4 linked regions of the Styela clava genome follow. The protein of the gene in region 4 binds, or shares a complex with, the protein of the main gene of each other region. Links are inferred from orthologs where the notes say so. Each region holds a gene or a part of one and is shown on either strand. Other genes may lie near its edges.

Region 1 (7,922 bases), on a different chromosome or scaffold from region 4:
CTTTCCGTCAATATATGTATTACAAATGCAAGTTAACGATTTCCCGACATGATATAAAGTATTAAACTGTTAAATTTACATATATGAACTGTTTCTATTTCAATTGTATATGGTAGTATATATATATATATAAAAACTGCAACGTTGGAAAGAAACAGGTATATATATATATAATATATTGTCAATTCGGTGCAGACTGTGCTGATGAATCTTCAGTTACTTATCTTTCTACGAAACTGCACATATAAACAGACAAATGCACAAACACACATATGCACTTGGTTCAGTGCAAACAAAATACTGTATTTTGACAAACTTACTTGATGTGTCTTTGACTCGAAGGATGCTCATGAGGAATGCCTTTTATTTACTAGAATATCGTGAATATTAGTAGCAATCGTCGATAACATGTACAAGTGTAACTGGACAGCTCAGTTTGTACATAATTTTGCACAGGAGATGAGTTTCAAAAAGGGGAAATCTTGGAAATTTCAGTAATTAACAAATTAATTAATTATCGGGATTATGACCTAACGATAAATGAAAAACCAACAACGCAGGCACCGTTTAAGTCGGTGCATCATTTTTAAGAGATGCACATTGCAATGCGGATTTAGGCAAAAAGCGACATGAATAAGATTAAAATGATGTAGTTACAAATGGTTCTTTCTCATATAAATATGGCCAGAGTAGTGCCTACATGAATAAGTAAATAATGGTTAAAAAAGAAAACTTGTAACGCGAATAAATGTATAAATGTCAGATCCGCGTTCTAAATAATAAGTTTAATTAAGAGAAATGTTCAAAACTTAACAATAACAGGCGCGACTAATTCAGTAATTTTATATAAGTGTTTCTGGAGCTTGACAGAGGTTGTCTTGGAAGCCTTGAAGAAAATGTAACATCACAACAGTTTTCTATACCCATCATATGTTAAAATGTATAGTATAGAGGAATGTTATCTTATCTCACCTCAATAAACAACAATGAATTGATAAACGCACCTTGATTGATATTTTATTGACTTGATTGATATTTTAATATCGATGATATTGAATCTTGAATATTACATTTATACCAACGACTAACATACCGATTTATACAAAGTATACAATATTTTCACAAATAGCCTTGGCCAGAGAATGCATATTGTTTACACCAAAAATCTGATTTGTTTCGATTGAACCCGTGCTTCTGATTATATTACACTTAACAGTGGCGGCGCGTGGTCATTTTGACAACCGGGGCAAGCTATTGCGGGACCAAGTCACCCCAATCTACGGGGATAGGATGAGCGCTGTAAGTTCTCCCATCATTTTATGAGTATAAAAACCATTCCATCGGTAACAACCAATCGGCGAAAGCGAAAATTTTTAACGATAAGAAAGTGTCGTGTCTTTAAAATCGGTCCAAGTCAAGGGATTAATAAATATAGACATAGTTTATTTTGAAACCTCTTTCAAAAGGAAAGGCAATATTTACCCAGATAAATACAATGACATATTAACAGAAACTTCGGGAAAGCAGACAAAACCTAAACGTTACTATGAAGAAAGGAAAGGTAATGCAAAGATAAGGACATGCGTCGCTCATTCATAGATATATATGCTGCTAGACTTCTACTGCTTGAACATATATGCAACACGCCGCGGTTTCTTGGAGGCAAAATGCTCAATAACGCGCTGATTAAAGTCATGCATCCCAGAAATAACGTCTCTGTGAATGGATAAAACAGCCAAGGAATTTAATCTATCTTGCTTCATTGTGTTTCTGAGATACGTTTTAATACGCTTCAGCGTGCTGAATGTTCGCTCTGCGTCGGCGGAAGAAATAGGCGTCGTCAAAATGATGTCCAGAAATTTTGCAGACGCCGCAAAGGTTACTAGAGTGTTATCTATGAGGAACCCATAGAGCGCGCAAGTTGATGTGATGTTCAAAAAAGTTTGATTGGTGTATATACATCGCAATTCATTTCCCAATTTACCCACGTTTATCATGGGGTAAAATTTGGCGAAAACGGAGTGCGAACTAGTGCATCAACCTCATTCATTATGAGGTCTAAGGCTAAGAAATGGGAAGCCGGAAAGAAGTGAGGAGCTCAAAAGGAATGTGGAAAATCGAAAGCAAATGGACTAAAGGTCTCTAACTGATTCAAATAGCGAAACAAGCGACAAAAACGAAGGCGAGGAAACTATCAACTCTTCAAGCAACCAACGAACGAGAAGGAATGCGTGAATATGTCAACACGTTGTTGTAAGAAACGTCGGCATTGTGTCGTCATAATTTCGGGGCTAGCCCCGATGATTTAGTAAAAGAAACAGAAAACAAACGAGACAAACGCGGCGAGTGGAAGATAAAAGAGAGAATACGATATACAATGAGCAACCGGGGCAAAATCGGCGTCGCCCCGTCGACGTTCGGCGAAGGCTTTGCGAGCGAAAAATGAATCATGTCGGGAGAATATGGCTAGTGTAGACAGTCTGTGCAACCGATATTGAGGTATTTTTCGAAGATTTTTTATTATACCGAAAAAACAACCGGGGCATTGGCCCGGTTGGCAGTATTGACGCGCCGCCACTGTTACACTAGTATGTGTATAGTAGAATAAAACACATCTCATGTTTATATTGTTCAAAATGCTGCACAATTTGTATTAACTTACATTCATCCATAAGTATACAGTTACCCAAATAATTGGTATCCTTGAATACCTGCTCTCCAACCTTATCGTTTTGATCATTTTTTTTTTTCATTTTTGCAATACAAATTCAATATGTGGCAAATTCCGTTAGTTAAAATAATTTTATACCATACGTTCGCTTTTATAATAGAAAATAGTAAATTGCAGCAAATCGTGTTTACCTCTATTGTTACGTACCAATAGACGCAGACATTAGAAACAGAATGTAAACGACGTAGAAAAGTAAAATATATATCATGTTAATAATGTACAGTCAGTAATTCTTTTTGATAATATTTTATTTATGTTATTTTTCATTATAAAAGGAAAAGTGAAATGCATTTGATAATTCATATACACAGCATTTAAAATAATATACATTCACAATAAATATAATATTCAGAATATTCAATCATATATTAGTTATTAACACAATTCTGTTAACATCCGGGAGCACTTAGCAAAGCGCCGCAGCGCCCCCTTTGGGAATCACTGCCGTAGACGGTTTTCATTACCAGCATTTAATAATTTTTAAGCTCAAGTCTTTGATATAAATCAGCAAATAAATAAAATGTAGAGGTAGAAAGAATGACACCGCAAACTTTTTGCCGGCTCGATTTGACGCGTGAATAAATGCCAAAAAGTAATCGATTTTTTTTTTAACTTCGACATTTTATTTGGGTACGAAATAGTCTTAAACCAAATTTCAGAGTTCCCGCCATTACCAACGCCATCGCCGTTTCAGCTGACATTCTAGGCACCGTATTTAGGACAGTACGACGGTTTTTAAATGTCAAAATCAACTGTAAGAGCGGACTGCTGATGGAGTGTTTGCTAAATAAAATATTCAATGATTTTATGTCGGCCTTATCTAAAACAACCTAATTTATAACAGTATAACGTTAAACGTTTACGGATAACGTATCGGTAGTCGGTACCGTACGGCAAATGTTCTACGCCAAAAGAGCACTGGTACGGTACCGGTACCGGTACGTTGTGTGGGGGGGTCTTGTGACGTTGCAATGACGTAGTTTTTGAATAATACTGTTATAGGATATGAAACTGGGTATGACATCACTTAGCACTGCCTGACGTGTAGCATAATCTGATAATGCTGTAAATTGTAATGCGCCAGCCGTCAAGTGTCAAACTGAATAAGGTACTGAAATACCGGATCTGCCGACATTTTCAGACAGTTCTGCAGTTAGAATGCTGGAAAATAGGGCTGTAGAAGGTTCATTCCAAGCAACTGGAATTTCACCAATTTTTTCAAAAATGTAACGTCCAGACGTTAGAGTTACTAAAATCCCGGAACTGTGATTTTCAGTTCTGGATCTCTTCTCTATGCTTTTGCAGTTTTGTGCGATATGTATGATGAGGAGTGTTTAGAACAGGCATAATCCTGATACTGAATATTGCCTTGACTGCAAATGAAAGTGAACACAGATCAAGATCAAAGCGAAAACTAGAAAATTTAGAAAGAGGACAGAGAAAGATAGCCTACATACAGACATCTAGTATTTCAGTTTTTTAATGCTGACCAAATTAGTTTTTTAAGGCTAGGGCGTAAAAATTTAATTTTAGCCATACCGGTACTGAATAAAATGTCTTGACTACCAACTACTGAACTATACTTGACTTGAGACTCTTAAGACTATCCCAACTGAATTATCACATGATTCATTGCAAAAATTGAAAATTCTCAATACTGTTACCACAATACATGCAACATCTCAAATTAGACAATACCAGTTTGTTTCGCATTTTATCGCTGTAAAATCATGAATGTGAAAGGTCTTGTTTTGCCAATTATTGAAGTTATTGCAAAATATATGTAATTATAAAACATTATGTGGAAAATATTCAGTAGGCTATTTCACTGTTATTGTTAGCGGCCCATTTTTCTACTTTGTTTGACAAAAATTCGTAAATTTTGATATCCGAAATAGATGAATTTTTTTCACATGATTAAAATTGCTTCATTTCTGTATTTGACTTTTGTGTCGTGATTTGCGTACAATTTCATAAGTCAAATTTAACTATATCATGATTTTGTTTCTCGATGAATGAATTTAGAAGATTCTGAATTAATCGCAAACCAAACCTTTTGAAACTCAAACTACTCAACTTACATGATCATCCCTATCTCTCTGCTCTCAATCTTTTCACATTATTTGCTATGTTTAAGAGTGCAAGGAAGTAAACATCTTCTCATGAACCCATTTTATTTTATAGTATTACAGAACGTCTTATGTCTGAGTTAAGCTAATTTAATCATGTCGACCCCGCTGACATCAAGGAGACGCTCTGTCAATTTACTCAACCGATATGCAGGCAAAAGTGAAGTCTCTTCACCACAAACTCGTCGTTCTCTCAATGGTCAAGGTGATGCGCCATTAGAATCACCGCAGCTTCCCAATGTTCATAATGAAGAGGATGCGAGGGAACGAAGGGAGAAGAGAAGATCTCGAACTCTAGCTCAAGCAACTGGTAGTCCACTTGTCAAGGTAAAGTAAAGTATAGCAAAGTCTATTTTTCAGGATATTGTATAATTAATTGTTTGGTAGGGCTATGAGTGCTAGAAGCCTTCGGAGGGGGCCTTGAGCCATAAAATGTTGGAAACCGCAAAGGTCTTGTGGAATTTTGAGTTATAACAGATCTAAAACATTAGTATAGACCAGTCTGGATTTCATGGCCATTTTGAACGAGAAACCGGGCATGCAATCAGAAATTCCAGCGCGCAAATCAAAATTCCCGGTGTGCAATTATGAATAACGGCGTGCAAATCGACTGTGCTCGCGTGCAACTGATTTTGACTTCAGTTGCTGTTCAGTACATCGACCTGCGTAAAATGATTGGATAAAAATACATAACTTCGGAGCAGAATGTTCTGGTACTGTTCAGTACATCCGCTTAAAATTATTGGATGAAAAATAGGTTGAATCAGAGCAAAATGGACATTTGACCTTTGACACACAAACATTATTTCTACATTTTGTCATTAATTTTTGGGAGTGTTTTTGCGTAAAATTATTGGATGAAAAATACGCTGAATCAGAGCCGTAACTGACCAGTGTCGACAATTGTGGAGCTACAAATTGTTAGCATCTTTATATTACTGGATTATTGATTTAAAAACTATTTCAACCGATTTTCATTGGTGAGCAATTACAAATTATCGGCGTGCAAAATTGAATTTGCACTCATGCATTTTTGCAGAGTGCTAGCGTCCTCGGGCGTGCATCTGCCAGGGAATCCAGTCTGGAGTATAGGGGCCTAACCTGTCATAAACGCTATGCTAGTTTGTCAGAGTGAAATGGAAAATCAAGTATCAATCTGATAATATTGAAATGCTTGTTTTTTAGTCTGACCACTGGAGTCTGTTTTGCTTACCTTTCGTAAATTATCTATTTGCAGGCCGTGGGTGAAATTTTCGTTAGTTTTTATACACAACTAGATTTATTTAAAATTTTCTATTTTTGAAGTCTTGATAGTTTTTCCTCACCCTTTCCCTTGAATCCAGAAAGTCATTTTTTCCAAAATCTTTTTGCAGAAAAATCTTTGCAGTGATCAACCTATATTCGATACTTGTTACTGTGGCAAGTGATAAGGCCTTTGACTGGCAATGAATAATTTTAACATTGGCCAGTGGAGATAAAGTCAATTTGTAATGACATACATTTGAATGAATGAAATAAACCTTGATTCATATCACAGATTTTCAGTAATTTCCATGTTGCTTTTATATATGCTATTTATAAATGTTGAATATTACCAAGGTTTTTTGCTATTATTTTATAGCCTGTTGAGGAAGATCAGGGCGTAACAGCAAAATTAACCAACGATCAACTGGCATCACATTATGTAAACTGTATTAAACTATCAACGGAGAACAAAATCACAGTGAGTTTATTCTACTACATGTTAATAAGAACTGAAGCGTTTTTATTGCCGGCCATTTCAAAACATGTTAAATTAGGACTTTATTTTGGCAAAGGATCCCAATTTTAATTTGAAACTTCTGAATGTATTTTGATGTTTTGGGTATATCTGTGTAATATAATTTTGAAGGTTGCAGGCTTGCAACTGTATTTATGTTAATGGCTTTTAACTTGATATGTTTTATCTTAAAAGAAAACAGTGTTATGTAATTTTGGAATCCTGCAAACTATGTTCAGAATTAATGATGGAAAATATTGTTAAAAATGTCTTGTAAGAGTTATTTTTCAATGGTAATTGGTAACAGTTATGTGGTTGTGCACGTGTTCTGTCACTCAGCCATTTTATCAAGTGCATTCTGTAACTCCTGGCATACTTGTAGGTTTCTACATGTGATCAAATGAGTGGATATAAATTTGTTTTTAAGCAATGGAGCCATAACCGTGTTATCAATTATCCGAACCTTTGCATATTCAGTTGCTCTTTGTTCAGGCTAAAAATGCTTTCAATCTGCATTTAATTGATCATATGAATGAAATGCTGAAGCAAAGATGCGAAGGAACACTCAATTTCCAGATGGCAGGAGGAACTATATTTGCAAGTGCAAAAATCTATGCATCCAGAGTTGATGCTGTGCATTCTGAGACTTACAAGTAATGTTTTTTATTTTTTTTTTAACAAGATACAAAATATTAGAGCTCGACCGATATATCGGCCAACCGATATATCGGGCCGATATTGCATGTTTTTCCCGATATAATATATCATATCGGCCATACTCCGCAAGCGCCGGGATGCGTGCTTCAACAGCTCTCGCCTCTGCATAACTGCTGGTTTCCCAATATTTCCCTCACTTTCATTTTGCGTTAGAAAGGTGTCTCGCCTAATTCCTGTTGGCACATGATTAGCCATTTCATGCATGATCATAACTGAAAAGTTATTATTCAGAGTAACGTTTTCGAGAGACTGCACAATGAGAAAAAGCAAATTTAGTATCAATAGAAAACGGTGGTTCTATAAATAGAATCGATTTAAAGCTGGTGAGTTAGTAATCACAGAAACACAGTAGAGGTAGCTCGAAGCAATAATGTCATCAAAGTAGTTCCGAATTTGCGACCTTCCCAAAATAAATTTTGAATTTCTGGTGTAACAGTTTTATCAATATTGATGGTTGTTTATCGCTTTGCTGGGACTCACACAAAAAACCTTAATCCATTATAATTGACTAAATAAGGTATTGAGAGTTTCTAGAAACATAGTTATTATTAAAAATTTCACATGTTACCGCACATATGCTATCACA
Region 2 (7,421 bases), about 7.7 Mb from region 4:
CCTTCCTTCGTCTTGTTCTCACGTTCTTCAATTTCTTGAAGCGCCATTTGACATTCTTGTAATTGAACTCTCACTTCTTGTTTTTCTTTTTGAACTTCTTCGGTTTCTTTTAAAAGTTCTGAAGCTTCTTCTTCGAGTTGCGTCCATTGTTCTTCTAATTTTTTCAAATTTTCTTCATTTTCTGTGATCTCCAATTCTAGTGCTTCAATCGATTTTTCGCTTTTCTGAATGTTACGTTCAGCTGTATTAATACCAACTTTTAGTTTTGTGATTTTCTTTTTAGAAGCATTCATTTCACTGATGATTTTATCAAGAGCCTCTTGTGCTGGTTTCAGTTTCCTGCTGTTAATTTCATCAATTTGTTCATGGTAACTGTTTTTTTCTGCTTCAACTTTTTTAGATTTTGCTACAGCAGAATTGTATTCTTTCGTAACTTTATTCAACTTGTTTTTCATCTCTTCCTGTTTATTTGGATCGGGTTTCGTTTTCTTAACTTCTTTTTCACACGATGGTTTTTGTTGTTCCAACTGTTTAAGTTGAAGATTTAATCCAGAAGCCTCTTGTTCGAGCTCCTCCGTTCTACACTTTGAATTACGCAATTTTCTTTGGAGTTGTTCAACTGCTTCTTCAGCAAGTGCAATCTCACCCCTAAGAGAGCGTAATTTTGTCTCCATTGCTTCAGCTTCACTTTGCATTTTTCGCAGTTGCTCGAGTGGAACAGCTTCTTGTGCAACGCACTTTGATCCCATACGACCTTTCACTACTCTGTTACCGCCACCAGTCATAGTACCGGAAGTATCAATGATCTCTCCTTTTATAGTGACTACTCTCCATCTGCGATCTTTACCATAGGCTACCTTGGTGGCTTCAGAAAGATCGCTAGCAACTAAGGTATCACGTAAGGCGTGGTAAAATGCAACTTTAAACTTTTCGTCACTAACACGTATCAAATCGACCAAGCGAGGAAGTGCAGACCTTGGTTTGTTTTGAACTTGTGACCTATGGCGATCCATTTTATCCAATGCAATGAAGGTTGCTTGACCAACATTATTCACCTTGAGGGCTTGAACACATTTCTGTGCAGTCTCAATATTATCAACGAGAATATTTTCTAGTGCGGGACAACAAGATGATATTGCAACATCATATTTTTCATCAATAGCTCCCAAATTTCCAAGTCTTCCATATATCCCAGGCAATTTTCCCGAGGTTTTTAGCTGCATCAAAAAATCTGTTACTTTCCCTTGAGATTTGGCAGATTTTGAAGAATGCTCTGCATCTGCAAGATGTCCTCTGGCAGCTTGTAGTTTGGTTGACAAATCTTGTTCCTGGGTTTTAAGATTTTGTAAATGTTTTGTCTTCTCTTTTAATTTTGTGTCAAGCTCAGGTAGAGAATGATTGAGATTCTCTCTTTCTTCTCTGCTGCTTTCCAACATCCTAGTTACTTCCTGAATTCTTGAAGTGACCTTTTCAAGAGCAACTACGGCATTTTCATGGTTGCTTGTATAAATTTCAAGTTCTGCTGCCGCCATATCTTTTACCTGTTTTGTATCATTTACAACTTTCATCAATTCCATGAGGGGTTTCTCCTTTTCTTCAATCTTCATCTGAAGATCAGATGTTTCATCTTTCAAACTTCTCGTGACTTCAGTAAGATTTTCATCTGCTTCTTTTTTCCTTACTGCAAAACCCTCGAGTGCTTTTGTCAATGTTTCTAAATCCCGTTCATGAGCGCTTGGCACTTCTTGGAGTTCCTTGAATTTGCGTTTTTCTTTTTCAACTTTTTTGGCTAAATCTTTTGCCTTTGCTTTTGCGTGTTTGCGATCTTCAAAGACTTTGATGTTAGTCTGTTCTAATTCACCCATTTTATCTTTTTTTTGCTGACACAACGACTCTTGCTTTTCCAACATCTTTGAAATCTTTTTGACTGTTTTCACTTTCTCTCTTCTTTCCTCTGTAATCATCTTGAGCGCTTCTTCCATTCCAGTCATTTTTTCTTTCAGAGCATCTCGCTGTACAGCATATTCTTTCTCTTCTCTGCTAATATTACTAATATAATTTTGAACAAGTCTGTTCTGCAATTCAGCCATTCTATTCTGTGCTTTTAAGAAGTCAAGTGCTTCATCTCTCAAAGGTTCGAGCTCATCTTTCTCTTTTTCGACATGTTTGACTCTTGCGAGTCTTTCGCCGCGTTCTTCACTCAACTCTTCTACCAATTTTGCCAGTTTTTCAATTGCCTCCTTGAACCGAGAAGAACCAATGATATCTTCTAAAAATTCCAGCATTCCTTCATCATGTGCTGTTTGTGCTTTTGGTTTCATCATGGCAATTTGTTCAACTTCTCCTTGCAGAATTAAAAACCTATTGTGATCCAGATCAATTCCACTTGAACGAAGGAATTTGGCTACTTCCTTAAAATGAACTCTTTTTCCATCAATGCAATAGTAAGATGAATTATCCGAAGAAGCAGTACGAGAGACACAAAACTGACTGTTGGGCACAACTTCAAATTCATCTTCACTTGTATCAATAATTGATTGAAAATGAACTTCAACAGTACAACTTGTTGCATTTTTATGATTTTCACTGTTGTGGATCATCACTGATACTTTTTTTGACCTCAATTTGTTGGAACGATACCCAAAAACGAAAAGCATAGAATCAATAACATTGGACTTCCCACTTCCGTTTGGTCCAACAATTCCAGAAAAGCTTTTGTGAAATGGTCCAAGTACTTGAACTCCAGCATATGATTTAAAATTATGATTCACAATATGAGTTATCATAAGCCGTGGTTCGCCTGCAGCACCGACACCAACAGCCAATGGTTTAGGTGGGATTGTAATTCCCTCTGGAAGATCAAGTTCCGCTACTTCTTCACTTCTTTCATCATCTAACTCCATTGGTGGCTCTGTGTCAGGATCAGGAGTATCCATCTTATTATCTTCAGTATTTTCCGTGGCAGTTTTAGTCATTTTAATATACTTTATTTAAAAAGACCAGAAAATAATACCACAATATTAGTATCAAATATAAATACGAAGCAGTGCGATGGCCTAGCGATTGAGGCATCAACTTTAACTGTGTTGGTATTACAGATTAAACATATCAGGTCCTAATCCCATGTCACCCACCTCACCCAGTTCGGAATACATTCAGACATTGGGATAACAATGCCGAAGCAGAAAGATTCAGGTGCTTCCATACATGCAAAAATACGCACTCGTAGCAAGTTTGAGGACTTGGTTCAATAAAACAAACACCCTATTTGTCTCCAAAATGAGGAGTGTCTGCCATGACAACCCAGACTGTCTCGTAAAAAGGAGGTATAAATTGGCAAACTAGTACTGCGCAATAACCTAAAAAAGAAGTGCAATCTAAAAACATCACGATTGGATTTCTTGAAAAAAATCATCCGATTTATCAAATGAAAAGAAAATTTTACCATAGCATTCAGAGAGTTTTCAGATGAAAACGCCATGTTGGTCACATGACGGCCGTGATTAATTTACCATGGATTATAATCGAGACAAGCATGGAATGATCTGACGCATCTGCCTTCAGACACTCTCGTTTCAGAGACAAATAAGAATGTTTTTTCATTGAACCAAATGTCGGGACATCTTGAAATAAGAGAACTGTGTCCTACTGGATAAAGTACCCTTTGACAACAAATTCTCTGGGAGTGGCATAAATATAATTACCGATGGAGTTCATCATAGTTTGTGTTGGCGGATGCGTCAAATTTTTTGACCATATTGGCGCTATAGAGATTATAGGGGAAATCATGCAATTCTAATTGGGGATATCGACTAAAAATAAAGTGGAGGTATTAACGCTTACGCAGAATATTCTGGTTCGCTCAAAATTCGGAAATTCATATAAATTAACACTAAAAATATGATCATTCTGATGTCCAGCTACAATACAGTGAGGAATATTACTTCTTAATATATACTAAAATTTCCCACATGCTAGTCTACTGCAGTGAAACATTAATTAGTCTAGGCATCTGAGTTCAGGCTGTCGCAAGAGTTGGCCCGTTCTGCCGTTTGCAGGTTTGTTTATTATAAATATCAGTCCTGCAGTCTGTCAGTGACAAAACTTGTAAACTGTTAAGGTACGTAAAAATGAGCTTTGGTCAAGCATGCGCCCAGACATAGGCCTATCAGTCAACATGAGTGTCATTATTATTACATTTGGCCAACATTTTAAAAACTTACTGCATTCCCTTTCTACCAAATTTTATGTCTTGTCAACAGAAGCCAGAACAGCGAGACAGCAGAATGCTCAGATCTGCTGATACGGTAGTCTACGGCAGGGGTGTGCAAACTGCGGCCCGCGGGCCAAATGCGGCCCGCAAGAAGAAGTTGTGCGGCCCGCGGAGAAATAACGAATTCGAATGGTGTACCCGCAAAACGAGTATTTATTCTTTTTCGTCGCAAAGCCCATACCAGTCATATTAGCAAAACAAGCTAGCAAAATTCTGTTGCAAAATACACGATTTATATTACAAAAACGTGTTTCTCACTGCATTCGTTTGAAGTCGGTGTGACAAAAAATTTAAATATCAGTTTCTTCAGAAGTTTATGCGTTTTAAATCTACTATTTCTGCAAGAACCCTTAATAATGCCGTAAGATCAATAGCAAATATGCTATAGGCAATTTTTGTGCTTGAAACTACCAGAAAGCCTAAATTAAATAAAGGTGCGGCCCGCGGCTTCACCCAGTTACTTGTATTTGGCCCGCCAATAAAAAAGGTTGCACACCCCTGGTCTACGGTACCGTACCGGTACCGGTATCGGTACTGCAGTAATGCAAGTACCGGTACTGAAATGGCATTATGTCAAAACTGGACAAGTTATACGAAAACCGATAGTATGTAAGTTACCGTATATACCGTAATTACTTTTCGAAACGTTTTTGTTTTTAAGTACAATGAAAAATATCTATAAACTATTCGTATACCTGTCACTCATGGACTATATGAATATCAAAATAATACATCAAATATAATAGAAAGCGCGGGAATCGCGAGACCACGAGATGGCGTGACCCATAAAATTCGTCATGAATGGGCCATTTCACGGGTACAAAAATGCATGAATATAAACTTACCCGGATCAATCAAGGATAGGATAGGATTTACATATTTATCCCGAGGGAGGGGAAAGCCGATAAGACGGCTTAATCATATGGCGAACCACGGCCAGTTACCGTCCAGTTACCAGTCCAGGTCGGGTATGGGATTATTGGACACGTAGTGGACATAACGATCGTTTCAATATTATGTTGTTGTTGTTGTTCTTGTTCTTTGACACGTTTTTAAAAAGTCGCCTTTCTCTTCGAATACTGGACCAATTGCTTTGAAATTTTCAGTGGTTAAAGATTAATTTTTTCGCTAGAAGGCTATTGCTTTTATTTATTTCAAAATTTTGCGTGAATTCTATGAAATTTGATATTTCGTCTAATATTTTGCTGTATTATTTTTTATCCATGGGAACACGGATTTTAGTCAGTGTCATGACTGGCTGTACGTTTTGATTCTGCAAAATTCTTGCTACTGGAAATTAGGAACTTTTTTGAGGGTACCGGTAGCGTCAAAGGTACCGGTAAGGACTGATTCGCTCTGGTCTGACGTGTCCATATATTTGTGCGTAGCTCTCTTGTTAGTTATCCCGTAAATATGGTTAGCCAGTTATTTGTTTTCCGAAGCATGGACTTGATGGTTGAGGAAGCCGTAATAGAATGAGGCCATCGATGAAAAAAGGTAAGTAACATACAAATGGCAAATCGATAGTAATAACTCAGTAATAATCGATAGCAATGAGTCTACGAATCTTTCTATTTCATATACCCCAGAATATTTAAAATCCGTGATTATTATTTTTTTCGCTATTGTATGGGTAACCAATAACATTAACTATTAACATTAAAGTTTAATGTCATTGGAGTAACTTAAATGCTTTTGATGTAAACACCAGAAAGCGTGGATACCCGTGATCAGTGGCGCAGCCCATGGGGGGTTCAGTGATTTCCCTACACCCCCCCTATACCCCCCTAAAATTTCAAACACCCCCCCCCTAATTTTGAGGTGCGATTTCACACTGAGGGGTTCTAAACCGCAGTCTGCGGGCCAATTACAGCCCGCGCGACGATTTAAAATGGCCCGCCGAACTTGAGTGAAATAGTTTAACCCTTCATGTGGTACCTTTTGAGTTTTAGATACCGTCTATTGTTACATCATTATCACAGTTTAAGCACGTTTATTTCGTAACAATTGAATTATTCCGGTATCTTATGTATACGTATGGGTATTAGGATTACACACTGCAGTATTTTAGATATCAGCCGTATATTAAGAAAGCTTAAAGATGTCACAAAACGAAAACTAGGCAATGAAAATGACGTTTTTTAGATGAATGACAGCGTTTTTATTTCTTTATTGAAAAGAATCAAGCTTCAGCGATTTGTCTTCTTACCAACAAAATATTTCAGTTCTGAAGGAATACAACATTATGATCAGTTGACGAGCTTATTTCAAAATTTAATTCATACAAAAGTCAAACAAACATGTTCCAAAAAATTAGAAATGTGTAACAAAACGTAAGTAGCCATTCATACAATGCCAGATGAGCAAGTAACTTCCTTAGTCACTATCAGTTGCAAATTACTTGTTGAAACGTAGTAGTATATATTTACGGTTGAAAGCCGTGCTTGTTATCTATTCCCCGGGAATTCTATCAGCTAAATTTTCTAATTATTGATTTCATTACATAACAAACTGCGATGCTAGGTGTATCTAAAATCAAGCTTAGAGCCTATTTTGGTGCCTATTTCTCAAAATTTTCTCAGGCCGCTTGAGCGCGCCCTGAACCCCAGCCGTGTCGTCCCGCACTTTTCCTCGCTCCCCTTTTCTGGCCCTACATTTTTATTCTTCTGTGGATTTTGGCTCGCGTCAATCATCTTGGTCAATCAACAATGTACATCGTTTCTTAAATACATACCATTTTGTTAAGAATACAAATAGCCTAGTTTTATCTCTAATAGCAAATTATTTACCACCCTCTAAATTTTGAAACACCCCCCCAACTTTAACTTTTTATTCATTAATTGAAATTTTCGTCGAAAATTTTTGTGTTAACATTATACGAGGTTGGAAACGCTACTTTTCCCGAGTTGTGATGCTATATAAGATAATTGATCTAAACCTAAAGTATATTCAATCAATTTTTATTGTGCTGAAATAAATTTTACTCTGTTAGGTTTTACAGCAGATTTACAGATTTTTTGAACGGTTTTACCTTAAAAATAATCTGAGTGCTAGCATTGCGATTGAGCGGAGTCAGTGTTGCAAGTACGGCTCAGATTTGTCGAATTCGCAAAATGGCAAAAATACGGATCAAAACAAAATATAATCG
Region 3 (6,997 bases), on a different chromosome or scaffold from region 4:
ATTTATCCCGGGGGAGAGGAAAGCCGATAAGACGGCTTATCCATATGGCGAACCACGGCCTCTCGTCCGGTTACCATTCCAAGTCGGGTATGGGATTAGTTATATTGTTTGTTTTCGAAAGCATGGACTTGGTGGTGGAGGAAGCCGTAACCGACCAGCGGTTACGTGAACCACCCAACGACGGCGAGGAGTCCAGCAATCCTCTCGCACATAACCATCCCTGCATGGGATTCGAACCTGCGAACTCATGCAGAGTAATCAGAGGTGCGTTGGCGAGCGTATTCTTAACGCTTAGCCCGTTGAGCCACACCGCCGCACTGATTCATTCATGATTTTTCTATGCAAATGTTTATTTCTGGGAATGGGATCAAATCAAATTTGGATGGGATTCACATTTGTCCAGCCTTGAACGCAATGATATAATATTGCTATTTTGCACTGCTAGACACAAAATATGGTTAGAAAGGAATGCCGTAATTTTTCAGATGCTAACCCAAATCTGCAAATGCAGAATTGTAAACAATGTAATCATTAAAATTAAGAAGTCACTCATGGCAAGAAGAAATATAGAAAAGTTTAGGCAACATCCTAGTCCCACAAGAGAACTTGATATGAGTTATAATAACTTATGAATTTTTACCTCAGTGAAAGTACTGAAACTAATACATATTTAATTTTTTTCTTGATAATAAATGTTAATTAAAAAATAATGCACTGCCAATTACTGTGGGAACTACATGGATACTTAATTTGGATATAATGGACAATACAATCAATCAATTGCTGGCTGCTGTTAATGTATCTTTTCTGTTAATAATTTTGGATGGTTGTTATTTTTATACATTCTTTGATTATTGAATAATCCACAACGTGAGAAAAAACCAAAACATTTTTTCAAAATAGGGTGTTATTATTTTTTGATGTCATTTTAAATATTGAAAATTGCATTTTGCTACCGGTATGACAGAATTTTTTTTGACTTTCTTTCTCCAGTTCTCAATGTCTCATGAGTTTCAGAGATGAATTTTGGCGTTTGCTTATAATGTTTACGTAGTCTATACCGATACCAGATTTTCAAATGACAGAATGAAGCCTACTACAGTGTTCCCCGAAAATAAAACCTAGCCTGAATTTTAAAATTATTTTAATATAAGCCCACCTCTTTTAAATAAGGCCTAACTTATTCAATAACGCGAACACGTTTGAATTGATGATGATCTATGTTCTGCTGTCATTTTGAATAAAAACGTGTTATTTATAAGTAAATAGATATCTTTTTTTCATATTTGAAAATCTCGTAATTCTCTACACTTAATTTTGTTTTTGGTAAATGAAAATAAAAGGAATCCCCCGAAAATAAGCCCTAGAGGTATTTTGCAGAAGAAAATTGAAATGTGACCCTGTTGTAATTTCGGGGAAACACAGTATGTCGTCTGTTTTGTGTTTTACATATGGCAATGTCTGAATGTTCTGCTGTAATTTTAGACATCATTTTGTATAAAAACAGATAATCATTTTGTGAATGATGAAATACTTTTTGTTAATATGATATTCACATGGTTATGAAATAACTTTAATACTCGTCTTAGTCTACCGCTACTGCCTGACTGATGTACTGCAGTAGCCCGACTAGCCTGTATCTCTATACAGGGCATCGCTGTTTTATAATTTGAACTCCATAATTTTAAAATATTTCCGAATTTTTTATGCTCGAAACATGTAAGTATTGTTTCTCAAGTACATCAAGTATAAGTTTAGTTTGACCGCATGATCATCATAACAGACGATAAAGTAATTGATAAAAACAACCAAACACATGCACGTTTTATCGTTTATAATGCTGATTATGGGATCACAATAAGCTTATACTTGTACATAGCAAACAAAAAATAAATGAATAAATAAAAATTACTTGCCACACCATATTATTATTAATTTTCTGATGGTTGCCAAATTGAGTATTGATTTTGTAAACAAGAGTGAACAGTAAAGAAAAATAATGAATAAAAAGATATCGCCAAGCTGATTATGATTACAACAAATCAATCAGTAAAAACAATAGTTCCTAAAATAAGTTTGTGTCTCTCCCAGTAATTCTTGTGCTAGTTCAGTAGTTATGCAATGACAAGCGATGCAATGCTACTAAGGCTTACTAAGAAGTTGCTTTGATCGTTGAGCAGGTAATTATCTGTAGGTCGTGTTTGCTATCAACCCGAATTTCAAAACTTGAGCTTCTCAAGTATTATTTTACCATGGTTATTAATAGTCAATTCATTTACTATTGGTAAACTTCTTGTTCAGAATGCTATATCAGTTTAGCTGTTTTTTTTATCGAAAATGGAAAGTGAACATGTGTTCATGATACCTTTTCGCACTGTCAGAATTGGAACATTGAAAACATTTCCTCCAAGAGATCGTCGAAATATTCCACTTCAGTTTTCAAAAGAAACAATATCTTTCAGTGCTGTATTGGAACAAAAAGGATATAATAAGAATGCAATACAGTTCAATATCCCTTCAAGAGGAATTGTACTCATTGAAGCACATCTCAAAGTTGGATGTCCCGTTATTTGGATTACTTTTGATTCTGATACTGCAGAAAGGATAAGAAGAATTACAAATATGCATTTAGAAACAGAGCCGGCATCGTATCTCGATCCGGACTCAAATGAACTTGCCGAAAAAAGATTATGTATTATTCCTATTCATGATCCTGTCGAAGAATCCCAAGTTGAAATTTTTTATAAAGTTGTGCGAAGCATTGCTGATGAAAGAAATCTGGATTTTACTAAAATTTTCCATGAATTATTGAGATCGGATTGTAATAGACAATTAATTCGTTGTACCCAATACATAACACAACTCACTAAGTTTCAAAACTCTTTCCGAACGAAGAAGGATATTGAAACAGAAACGAAAAGTGCTGTTATTGTCACAAAAACCGTTTCAGAAAATAAAAATGAAGATGAACATGATTTTATCATTATTGCATCAGATGAAGAAGAAGATTCAAATATGGATTCACTGTCGACAAAATTAGAAAAAAAGAACAAAAAAATAGGATCCAAGGATGTAAATAATACAAAACATCGTCGCCAAGCTGACTATCCCTCCGGGATATCCTCCCATAGATCGCATTCATATAAATTCCAAAAAAAGGAGTATGTTGCACCCAAACGTAAATCATCTCCTGATTTAGTTGATTTTGATAAAAATTATATTCCAGAATCCAACAGATTTAAACATCAAAAATTTGAAACTTGACTATTTTTTACCTTGGAAATTGAAATATATTGAAAATATATTATAAAATATTGATATATAGGTAAGTGGAAAAATGCGTACGAACAAGTTTTTTTAAGACAAAAACATTTTAACTTTATCTGCACTGATTTCATATATGTTACAAGCTATAAATCCAATAGATTTCTTACTCTTTATTTATAGGTCTTCAGACTCTCCCTACTTATCTGAACTGATGTGCTTTCAAAATCAAATGATTGTCTTTTTATATAGATTTTTCTTGTGAGAATCCTCATTCAGTGGATGACTGATCTTTGATATTTCATATTTAATAATGAAAGCTTGTTTTGTTTTTGAATTTTATTCCTTTGTATTACCTGGCCACATTAAGCTCGAATCTTATTTGCCGAATTCAGACTTCATATGATTTACCATGATCACGATATCACAATTCATATTTCCAGTACTTTTTCTAATTGTATATTTATTTTAATCATTGAAAGCAATATCATGATGTATTGTGCAAGTTTTTCCTATAAACACTCATTATTCCTATCTACCAGTGGTTATTATTTGCCTTTTTATTCTATACAGCCATGCTTATTATGTTTTTTTCTCGTGTCTGTGCCTGTTACTTTGCCTATATGAAACTACTCATCATAATAGTATTATATCATAGCATTTTTATGTTGAATTTCATTTTTTTTACAATCTTATTTGTTTTATTCTCTAGGTTTATATTTATAATAATAGGAAATGAAAAATTTTGTTATACCGTTTCATCTTCAAGACTTACAAAATTCAACGCCGTCTGCGACACAATATGTCGTTGAAGAAGTTTTCTCCAGTCGTATGCTGCCGATAAAACTACAAAGTGAATATCATTTTTTATATTTTGTAAAAAGAGTTTGATCGAATTGAAAACAAAAGAATAATAAAAAAAGAAAATTTAGTTTGACCAAAATTGAACTAAATATATTATTAATTGTGTCATATGAAAACAACTATGATTTATGACCATGTCAAGTATGAATATCAAATAAGCCTGTTTTTATTTTATCCTGCATGTAAATATCATATTTAAGTGATTGAAATTAACCAACTTGTAGACAAGTTGGCGAGTTTATGGCTCAAAATGACAAGTTTCCAAGTAACAATATTCCAAATAATTCATGAATTAAATTATGCAATTTATTGCTTTATTAATTAAATTCGGTTAAAAGTTTTGTAGTAATGGTGTAATGGTCTTTTATTCTGATCAATATTGATTACCAATAATCCAAAACCACCCTTGAAGAAACTAATTATTCTTATTTTTAGATGCAAAAATTGCTTTTGCAAGAGATGGAGGACTTGCAGTACTGGAGAACTTTGATGTGATCTACAGTGTCGTTTCAAAATTCAATGAAATAGATCCAGTTGTGAGACAACAGACTTGGGAGATGTTACTCAAAAGTAATAAATATTTGTAATCTTTTTAAAAGTATTGTGGGATTTTGGTTTTTAGTATTTTTGTATATTATCGAATGTTAAGGAATTTATACACTCTAAATGTTTGTTTTTTTAATTTCATTTAAAATTCTTTTTTTTCATTTACTTAGCAATAGTAGAGGTTTGCCCAAGTATCGAATTGTTTATTTCTGTAACATTGACTTATCAGCAAAATGTTAAAGGTGATATAGCAGTTAAACTTTAGTAGTCAGTAGTCACTCAGTCTCAGACACTTTTTTCATGAAGACAGATTTTGTAGTCGTTATTAGCCCCTTTTGTGACTTTGTTGCTACCTATTTGTTCAGAGTTTGTAGTTGTGTTTCCGAAGTTATGAATTCATTGTAAAACTGATATTTGGACAATATGCTCAAGTTACAAGTACATGTATGAAGTAGGGTAGGGGTTGGTTACCTACGGCACACGGGCCGGATCTGGCCCCCGACGGCCACTAAATTATATTAACAAAACGGCTGTTTTAAACATTATATTCTTTACGTAACATAAATTATTGTGAGATACGTGTAGACTGAATTATATTTTAACTTAACAGGTATATAATTTACAATTACTCGTTTAATGAGCCTATAATTTAATTATAGTGGTAGACAAGTGGCAACGAAACGCAGAAAAGTTGATGCTAGGTGCAATGGGTTCAATTGTGCAGAAAATATTCAAATGATATTTTTTGAGATGCAATGCAATGAGAAAATAAATCTATGTTCTATTCGAGATATGTATCACTGCTCAATTTTTATAAAAAGTATCTTCTTGAAGAAAAACTGTATCCAAATATGACAACCATGTGAAAAAATTCACATTGATGTTTTGAAGTAGCCTACATATGCATGCGAACAATTGTTTTCGAAAATGAACATTACAAAGAACAAGCGGAAAACTCAGATGAGTGATTCCCATTTTCAAAATGTTTAATCTTGGGCTGGATATCCATCCAGTGGCTATATCCAGTGCAACCCCTATTTTTGGTTCACACTCCACAAGCGACAAAACTTTGCCGATCCCTGCAGTAGGGTATAGGGGTGTCCAGAGAATAAAATTCAAATTAAATGCTATTTCATAAAGCTGGTTTATATTAAGAATTCTGATGCTATTACTATGAATTAGTGTTTTTTCTCTATGAAATCATAATTTCTAATAAATTTTCTCATTAAGCTTGCAAGTCTTACAGCAACTTCTTGGGGAATATTCTCTCTAGTGGATCCTCAGGAGATAACCTTGCATCGCCAACTCTTGACCTTGACGCTCGATTAAATCACAAGAATGCGTTGAAAATGTTGATTTATCTGATGGTACAAATGACAGAATTATTTCAAGCTAAATATAATCAATCAACAGAGGCCTCAGCTTCTGTAAATGCTGGCAAAAAGCGTGGAAAAGGATCTAAAAATAAGACAAGTACCAGTCAAGGTATGTAAAATTTTGCTATAGTATCTTGTAACAGACATTGCCAAACCATTTTTAGCGGCTCCAAGTCCAATCATTTGATTATTTTATCACATCATTCACATTCATAGTTTTCTTTCCACAGTCTTTACCCAGACCATAGTAAATCCTACTGTTGAAACTAAATATTATGCCAATTTGCTTTTCAAATGGAATAAAATAGCTATTGGCCAAGGATAAATGGTATTGAATCCATTTCTTATTTGCCATTAATTATCTTCGATTATTTTTATCTTTGGCAAGGATGAATTTAGTTAGGTTGTTTATCTTATGTTGTTCAGTACTTTCGTTATTCCATCTTAATTGTGGGACAATGGCTCAGCAGTTAAAAGCGTATACATAACTGTGTTGGCATCATCAATTGCACATCTGAGGTTCAAATATCATTCTTTCCACCTCATCCAGGATCCGTTAAATTGGGTATACCAGGCCAAATCAGAAAGACTCCAGTCCTTCCAAATAAAAACTCCTTTGTCCTTACATATCGTGATTCGTGAGATATCATTGGCTGGTAATATATGCCTTGTTCAGAGTAGAAGACTTGAGAAGCATCTTATACCAAACTAGTAAATGAACAGGATCAAAGAAAAACGATCAGAAAATTAGTGGTAATGCGTAGTAGCAATATCAGGATTGCACCAAAGTGTCATAAAAACTAAATCTATTACTCTGTGCTTTCCAGAGATTCAGTGGACAAATGAATGTGAAAAATTGGTCCGACTTCTGATGACTTTTGTTGATCTTGATATTCATAGATTATGGGATCCTGAACTTGTTGAAGATGATTTTATAAAGTATGGTT
Region 4 (6,974 bases):
CAGTATTACAAAAATTACTTCCAACACGCGGTTTGAATGAATAAAAAAGCTGAAACTAGTATTCTTTAATAAAAACAGCATACAAATTCTATGGAATGAAATCATACACGAAAGCTCGTCAAAAACCTATAGCTCAATAAACAAGTGGAATTTGATGCATGTTCGCAAAAATGTGCGCGTTACTACGTACAACCGAAGCACACAGGAAAATGTGTGTGATGTACTAGTGATCAAAATGTTTGACTCAACTATGTTGGCATAACAGGTGCACATCTCGGTTTCGCATACGCATACTTTCTATCTCCTCAAGAATATATTAATTTGGCAAAAGTCAATGCTGCACCTGAAAGGTTCCTGTTCTTTCAAAAGAAAACTCGTTACACATCGTCAGTTACATGGCCTTGTTCGGAGTGAAAGACGAGGTCGAATATTCCAATTCATTTCAACTAATAAAATATTTCCCAGGTCCCTAACTTTAAGCAGGAAAACGAAATGCCCGCAGCAACACAAATGTAGTTTGACGAGCGCAAAAGAAAGTGGCTAGATGCTGTCGATAGATCTTGGCTTATATTAGTGAAATAAACTACCATTTATTCTACTAAAATTGAATTTCTGACATTGTAAGGAGATGCAATGTTACTATGTATTCAATACTAACCCATGTAGTTATGAAATAATTGTTTTTAACGAAAGGTGCTCCCGAAGTATTCGTACCAAGATGGCGCACAACCTGAACATTGCATGATGTGGACCAGGTTAGGGTTCAGGTTGTGCGTCATCTTGGTACAAATACTTGAAATCCATTTAAAAAAAATTGCTCAACATTATATACTCCACAACCACCTGGGTATCATTATTTATGTCATCGACATTATATCTAAACAATAAAAAAACTTTGTCTCAAAACAATGTTAAGGCGCGATTCTGCCGGACTAATAAGGTTTTTTTCAAACTAGGCCTTCTGCCCCATTATGCAATTCCATACCTTTCTACCAAGTCCTCATCCAAAGCTGCATCCCTTGGTACAACATGCAATAACAGCTTGACAAGCTGACAGATACGAAATCTAACTGCTTTTCCTTGCGCAACATGGTTCTAGAAAAAGATTCTCAATTTATCTGGTAATATACACACAGATGTATACATATATATATATATTGAAGATTAAGCATCTTTTACAAATTTTTCATATCTTGATTTCTTCAGATTAATTCAATTTTTGAAGTTTCAATTTCAACAAATAGCAAACAAACTATAGTTTTTGATGATATAAAAATTTTTACTAGCAAAATTTAACATGAAGCCTGATTTAAGCTTTTTCGTGCATATAGAAATTTACCAAAAAAAAAAAAAAATTTAATAAAACCAATTCAATAATTTTAAATGAAAATATGTTTAGCTTAAGTCATTTCCATATAAACGCATCCTTAAATATGGACTTGTAGAATCAAAGTATTCAAGGCAAGTAGCATCAAAGTATTTCAAAAAACTCATCTTCATCATGACAGTGGAATGTTTCAACTCACCTTGAGTAAAAAATCGAATAAGAAATGATAGAAGTTATCAGCATCAACCTCTGGTTCAATTTCATCCTCATCACTTGTTTGTGCAAAACATGCTGCAAATCTGTGGTGGTAAACAAAATCATATGGCACAGTGAATAGTTTGTTTTTTTGCAATGACATTTATGTGTGTCATAGAGGTACATGTGGACAAAGCAAATTAAATATTGTAATATATTTGAATAGTTATTATTTTGAGGGTTCATCACAGACAGTCAAAACTTTTCATAACTTCAGTAAAAAACCAGTTTTCTTTAGGTGGCTATTAACTATCGCGTGGGACACCTCATTAGATTGAATGGAAACATATATTTCATTCTAAAAAGTAAGAAAATGAAGGACGCTATGCAAGCTGGCCAAGCGATTATCTTGTCTTGGATAGGATATATTCAAATGGCATTTGAGGACTGTATATTGAACCCCCTTCGTTTAATTTTCATTCAGAAATCTCCAAATATATTTAGGGTACAAAGGGAGTGACTGCACCTAAAAAAAACTTCATAGATTTGTGGAAATTTCCACTTCAACTAAATTTGAAATAACCCAAAAACATGATCAACCCTTCGAAATATTCTCAGAATATTAATATCGTGAACCGTTATCCTAGTTAGAGTTATTAGCCACCAATGTTTCAAATAGGGATATCGAACCGTGCAACAAATTCCATCACTCGTTCCACAGCAGGTTCTCTCGTAAACACAACCAAACATGGCTTCAAATGTCGAATAAACTCATCTCGGAAAGTTTGCTTGTCATTATCTTTCAGCTGAAAAATTATTAAACAGTAAATTATAGTTTTATAAATATTGTAGGCCTATTAAATATTGTTAATATAATGATCAATAGGCTACTAACAATTTTGAATAAATAAGGGTTGCCAATAGTTAAGATTTGAATTACAATGGAAGCATCCACCATCTTATCATCGAGGTCATATCTATATCTGTGCATAATTATACAGTAATACAACTTCTCATTTCCTAAAACCTATTATTGAAGGTTTTTCAGCCATTATGGGCACATATTTTTATCTGCCATTTGGGTTGAATCCAAAGAAATACAGAGATATTTAACTTCACCAAATGCTGAAATGCATAATAAAGTTAATGCTGTAATGTGGTACCGGTACTTAATGCAGTAATGTTGAAAAGTAAAAACCTTCTGACCTTAGAATAAAATGTTTTCAATCCTTCTGCGAGTTTAGCTTGATTTTGATGTCCATGTTGACTTTTATCGAATGTTTCTGATAGTTTGTCTTCAATTTTCATATTGATACTCGAAATTCACAATTAGTCTAGGCTACCTGATTTCTGAATTTGCACAGATTCAGTATGGTAATGTATAACCCCAGAATCCAGCTTTCACAATGCTGTCTAGTATCTGGCTGTTATTTGTATTGACGTATTATTAAAAATAGGATACGGTTTACATATTTATCCTGGGGGATCGGTAAGCTGGTACGGTACCGGTACCGTCGTTTACTCTCGCCAGTCCAGCAGTCAGCCAGTAGGCCTAGGACCCTCCAGATTGCAAAAACCTTTATTATCTAACAGTCTAAAGATGATGTCCGTAATGTTGTATACACAATCTGGACACTATTGTACATTTGAATGATAGTTAAAATGAAATAATTGGGCGCGGCGGTGTGGCTCAACGGGCTAAGCGTTAGGAATACGCTCGCCACCGCACCTCTAACTACTCTGCGTGGGTTCGCAGGTTCGAATCCCATGCAGGGATGGTTATGTGCGAGAGGATTGCTGGACTCCTCGCCGTCGTTGGGTGGTTCACGTAACCGCTGGTCGGTTACGGCTTCCTCCACCACCAAGTCCATGCTTCCGAAAACAAACAATACAGTAAAATCTAATCCCATACCCGACTTGGAATGGTAACCGGACGAGAGGCCGTGGTTCGCCATATGGATAAGCCGTCTTATCGGCTTTCCTCTTCCCCGGGATAAATATGTAAATCCTATCCTATCCTATCCTAAATACCAGCAGTTAGTGGAAGACCGAAGTCCGGAAATTACAACCACAAAACACTCGAAGCGACTTATTCGACCGAGCGACAAAGTACTGTAGACAGAAACTAGGAAATCAATAAAGCGTGATGAGCTAAGCTGACGTTTAAAATAATTTGGCGCCAAATTTCAGCATCGACTTTTTAAAAGCCTCGCTTCGCCTACTAAACTGGAATGAACAATTAAGATGGTCAATGAAAGGATTTTACCAGTGGCGGCGCGTGGTCATTTTGACAACCGGGGCAAGCTACTGCGGGACCAAGTCACCCCCATCTACGGGGACAGGATGAGCGCTGTAAGTTCTCCCATCATTTTATGAGTATAAAAACCATTCCATCGGTAACAACCAATCGGCAAAAGCGACAATTTTTAACGATAAGAAAGTGTCTTTAAAACCGGTCGCAAATATTTACTAGTAATTAAAAGTTATGATTCTTTTACATGACATTTTGGGGTAATAGTTCTCATGACTGCAAACATTTATATGGAGGTGTTAGATGGTACTCCAATAAGAGAAATTATCAATTTCAACTGATCCAATGTTGAGATCTAAATCATATGACCATCTCGACTTAATTTGCTAACACTAAGATACCGTTGAAAAATCGTCTATGAAAATTTATGCGGTGCCCCCATTTGCATGTGCTTATTTTGCTCAAGTGTTGATCCAACAATGAAACGGTCGTCCCATGCATGACTAAAAATGTTTTTAAAACCGGTGTCATCTTGCCACAATTTCAGCACAAAAAATACAACTTTACATCCGGGTGTCATAGCGGAAAAAACATCAGTTGCCACATTTGGGATACGACATCAACAAGCAACATCTGGCGATTTCTCGGGACGAAATCGAATAATATTACATAATAATATTTTGTAAAAACGCGTTTATTACATTATCAACATAAAAAAGTTGAAATTTTCAAATTTATCGAGTAAAATACATTTAACAAATTTACAGTTAATGTCAAAACATGTTAGACGACGATTAGTTTCAATATGAAAGTTAAGATTATAACAAAACGATCGTATCCAAGTCGCTCTATTGAAAAAGGTGCATTGCAGGAAAAGTTTCAACATGATTTCTGAATGTGGAATCCAATGTAGTAACACATAAAATTAGTTAAATATTCAAATAAATATTTTAATAGCCAACATAACTTATTGAAATTTCCGATATTTACTAAGCGAAATTTAAGACTATTAAAAATGACAAAGCAATTTAGCTGTAACGAAATATTGTGTATTAAAGGAAAAGTTTCAATATGATTTATGAACGTGAAATCTAATACAGTAACACAAAGAATTGGTTAAATTTTCAAAATATCATTAGTAAAGCCAGCACAGCATGAAATGTCCGATAATTACCTAGTCATAGTTACGATTATGAAAAAACGACCATATCCAATTCGCTGTAGCGAAAAATTGTGCTCAATTCTTTAAATAACTTCAGGAAGGATGTTCTATCAGCTTGGAAATCTTTCAGATATACGTAATTGGAGTTACAATTGATGCATCCTACTTTAGCGTATTAAGCTGTTTTTCATAAAAATATATATACCCTCCCCTGGCTATATCATCGCCTGGATCCTCCGGATCGAATAATATCTGATCTCCAATATTCAGATCATCACACAAGATTGTTGAATTGTCAGAATATATGTAAGTCACGTAGTGGGATCCTCCAGTATCATTATTTTCACCCCGGTGTACAATAACACTAGCTAGATCGTATTTGACATTTTGATTCCGCGAATTATCAAAAATGGATATTTCGGGATTGGGGAAAACTTTTTTATGATTTTTCATTCCTTGTCTTGTTCCTCGAGCAAGACAAATTGTCAAAATATCCGGTGTTGAATTGATATTGATTTTGCATTCTGCTCTTGATTTCTTTTTGCATTCGGGGCATTTCCAGTTTTCCCATATGTGTAATCTTTTAAATAAATTTGTAAATAAGCACTGTCGGCGATAGTTTCTGGCATTGGTAATATTAAATGATTTTGTGAAACTATATTATGTGTCCTATATGGGCACTTTTTACACAAGCGTATTGTCGATAGTTGTAGGGTTGTAACCTTCCCGTAAAGCAGACATATATTGAATAGCACTGTCTGAAATAGAAACTCGGCAGCGTCCTGTTCTTGTCCATAGGTCCACATCTTTTCTGTACAAACTCTCTTCAATAAATTTGTGATAGAAATATCCGACACTTGATGCCCTGTGGACATTGTTCGGAGTATCATAATTGCATTTCCTACAAGGTTATTGAATTCTGGCACGTCATCGCTTGCTATTCGAGAGTTTCTTAGGAGATAATTTAAAGCCTGTAAGCAACAATTTTCCCAACAGTTGTTCCATTTATTTACCAATCCGACAGTTTTAAATATAGGCTTTTCGTTTTTTTGACCATTCAAGAGATATGCATTGGTTGAGTTTTCGAACAGAAAATATACAATCCAATGCCTGAAATCATCAGTAGAAATATTGAACTTTTCCCCCGTACAAATAAATTCGGCAGCCGCACATGCACAGACTCCACAGGAACTACCGTCTTTCTGCTCAATTATGCATTCTTGTTCTAATTTAATGTATATATTGCACATTTGCCAATTGACGAAGAAATGGGATGAATTGTGATTGAATTGTTTTGTATAAAATTTTGTCGTATGGTCTGATGGAATTGATAATAGTGCAAATCTTCAAATCGGTCGAATAATATAATATGACAAAATGCTGCTCTCCGTTTTTTAACAAGATAGGGAAATATTAGATGCTGTCTCAACTCACTGCTTCCATGTACAATTAGATCTCTCAAACTTTTTGATCCGCTTTTAAAATAACGTCCATCGATTATTCTTTTGGTGAAATACCAGTCGGTGCATCCGATATCTTCATTCTGTTTTGCTCTGTTGTGCTGATCCACAGTCATTTTGATGGATGCATTCACTACGTCAGTCGTTAGCCAACCTTGATACGTTATATTTTTTATAACTTTCTGCATTTTGAACAATGTTTCTTTTCCAATATTTGGGCAAACCGAGCATACATCAACCCAGTTCAGATCGATTTCTTTATTAAGTCTTAATGCCGTGTGACCAAAATCTTTTATTTCGTTTGCTTGTTTCCAAAGTTTCACAGCAGTAGTTTTAATCTTTTCTAAAAAATGTACTGATGTCCATATGTTTTTTCCAAAGTTTGAAATCTCCATTTTTGGAAGTAAGCCTGTTGCATTTCTATCTCCTGTAATCAAATTGCTTTCCTCTGATTGAATATTGGCGTAGCGTATTCTTTTTGCCGATTCTGTCGTTTCGTAATATCCGATGCCATTATTTCGCCTTTTCCTTTTTTTGAATTTTTCCTTAACCAAATGTGCTTTCATTTTTCTCCCATTT

What was found.
Region 1: the proteins of condensin complex subunit 3-like (region 4) and condensin complex subunit 2-like are in contact, whole or in part, in a crystal structure (PDB 6IGX), measured with the Homo sapiens proteins. The link is inferred for Styela clava from reciprocal best matches to the Homo sapiens genes NCAPG and NCAPH. Residues at the interface, in NP_071741.2 of Homo sapiens: Lys11, Phe14, Arg15, Gln18, His50, Tyr51, Lys53, Tyr54, Val55, Met56, Val57, Glu62, Ala64, Val65, Val68, Phe102, Ser106, Glu108, Ala109, Asn110, Ser111, Val114, Arg115, Ile149, Arg150, Lys152, Asp153, Lys154, Arg159, Glu188; in NP_056156.2 of Homo sapiens: Glu471, Ile472, Asp473, Phe474, Glu475, Asp476, Asp477, Ile478, Phe480, Val482, Tyr483, Phe484, Arg485, Lys486, Thr487, Ala489, Ala490, Thr491, Ile492, Leu493, Gln501, Asn502, Trp503, Ala505, Thr506, Thr507, Leu508, Phe512, Tyr514, Val516.
Region 2: condensin complex subunit 3-like (region 4) and structural maintenance of chromosomes protein 4-like share a complex: the UniProt entries of both Homo sapiens proteins name them as parts of the condensin complex. The link is inferred for Styela clava from reciprocal best matches to the Homo sapiens genes NCAPG and SMC4.
Region 3: condensin complex subunit 3-like (region 4) and condensin complex subunit 1-like share a complex: the UniProt entries of both Homo sapiens proteins name them as parts of the condensin complex. The link is inferred for Styela clava from reciprocal best matches to the Homo sapiens genes NCAPG and NCAPD2.

The regions. Positions count from the first base shown.
Region 1 is NC_135253.1:217,324-225,245, forward strand, and holds the start of condensin complex subunit 2-like, read left to right. Parts: upstream 1-4,915; 5' UTR 4,916-4,956; coding exon 4,957-5,187; intron 5,188-6,481; coding exon 6,482-6,583; intron 6,584-7,111; coding exon 7,112-7,272; intron 7,273-7,922. UniProt on the Homo sapiens protein: Regulatory subunit of the condensin complex, a complex required for conversion of interphase chromatin into mitotic-like condense chromosomes.
Region 2 is NC_135251.1:14,605,488-14,612,908, reverse strand, and holds the start of structural maintenance of chromosomes protein 4-like, read right to left. Parts: upstream 3,013-7,421; 5' UTR 2,976-3,012; coding exon 1-2,975. UniProt on the Homo sapiens protein: Central component of the condensin complex, a complex required for conversion of interphase chromatin into mitotic-like condense chromosomes.
Region 3 is NC_135256.1:8,804,484-8,811,480, reverse strand, and holds the start of condensin complex subunit 1-like, read left to right. Parts: upstream 1-3,979; 5' UTR 3,980-3,999; coding exon 4,000-4,117; intron 4,118-4,563; coding exon 4,564-4,698; intron 4,699-5,904; coding exon 5,905-6,159; intron 6,160-6,877; coding exon 6,878-6,989; intron 6,990-6,997. Other genes in the region: uncharacterized protein LOC144425034, read left to right, coding at 2,338-3,264. UniProt on the Homo sapiens protein: Regulatory subunit of the condensin complex, a complex required for conversion of interphase chromatin into mitotic-like condense chromosomes.
Region 4 is NC_135251.1:22,335,379-22,342,352, reverse strand, and holds the start of condensin complex subunit 3-like, read right to left. Parts: upstream 3,023-6,974; 5' UTR 2,831-3,022; coding exon 2,729-2,830; intron 2,329-2,728; coding exon 2,213-2,328; intron 1,627-2,212; coding exon 1,527-1,626; intron 1,096-1,526; coding exon 986-1,095; intron 1-985. UniProt on the Homo sapiens protein: Regulatory subunit of the condensin complex, a complex required for conversion of interphase chromatin into mitotic-like condense chromosomes.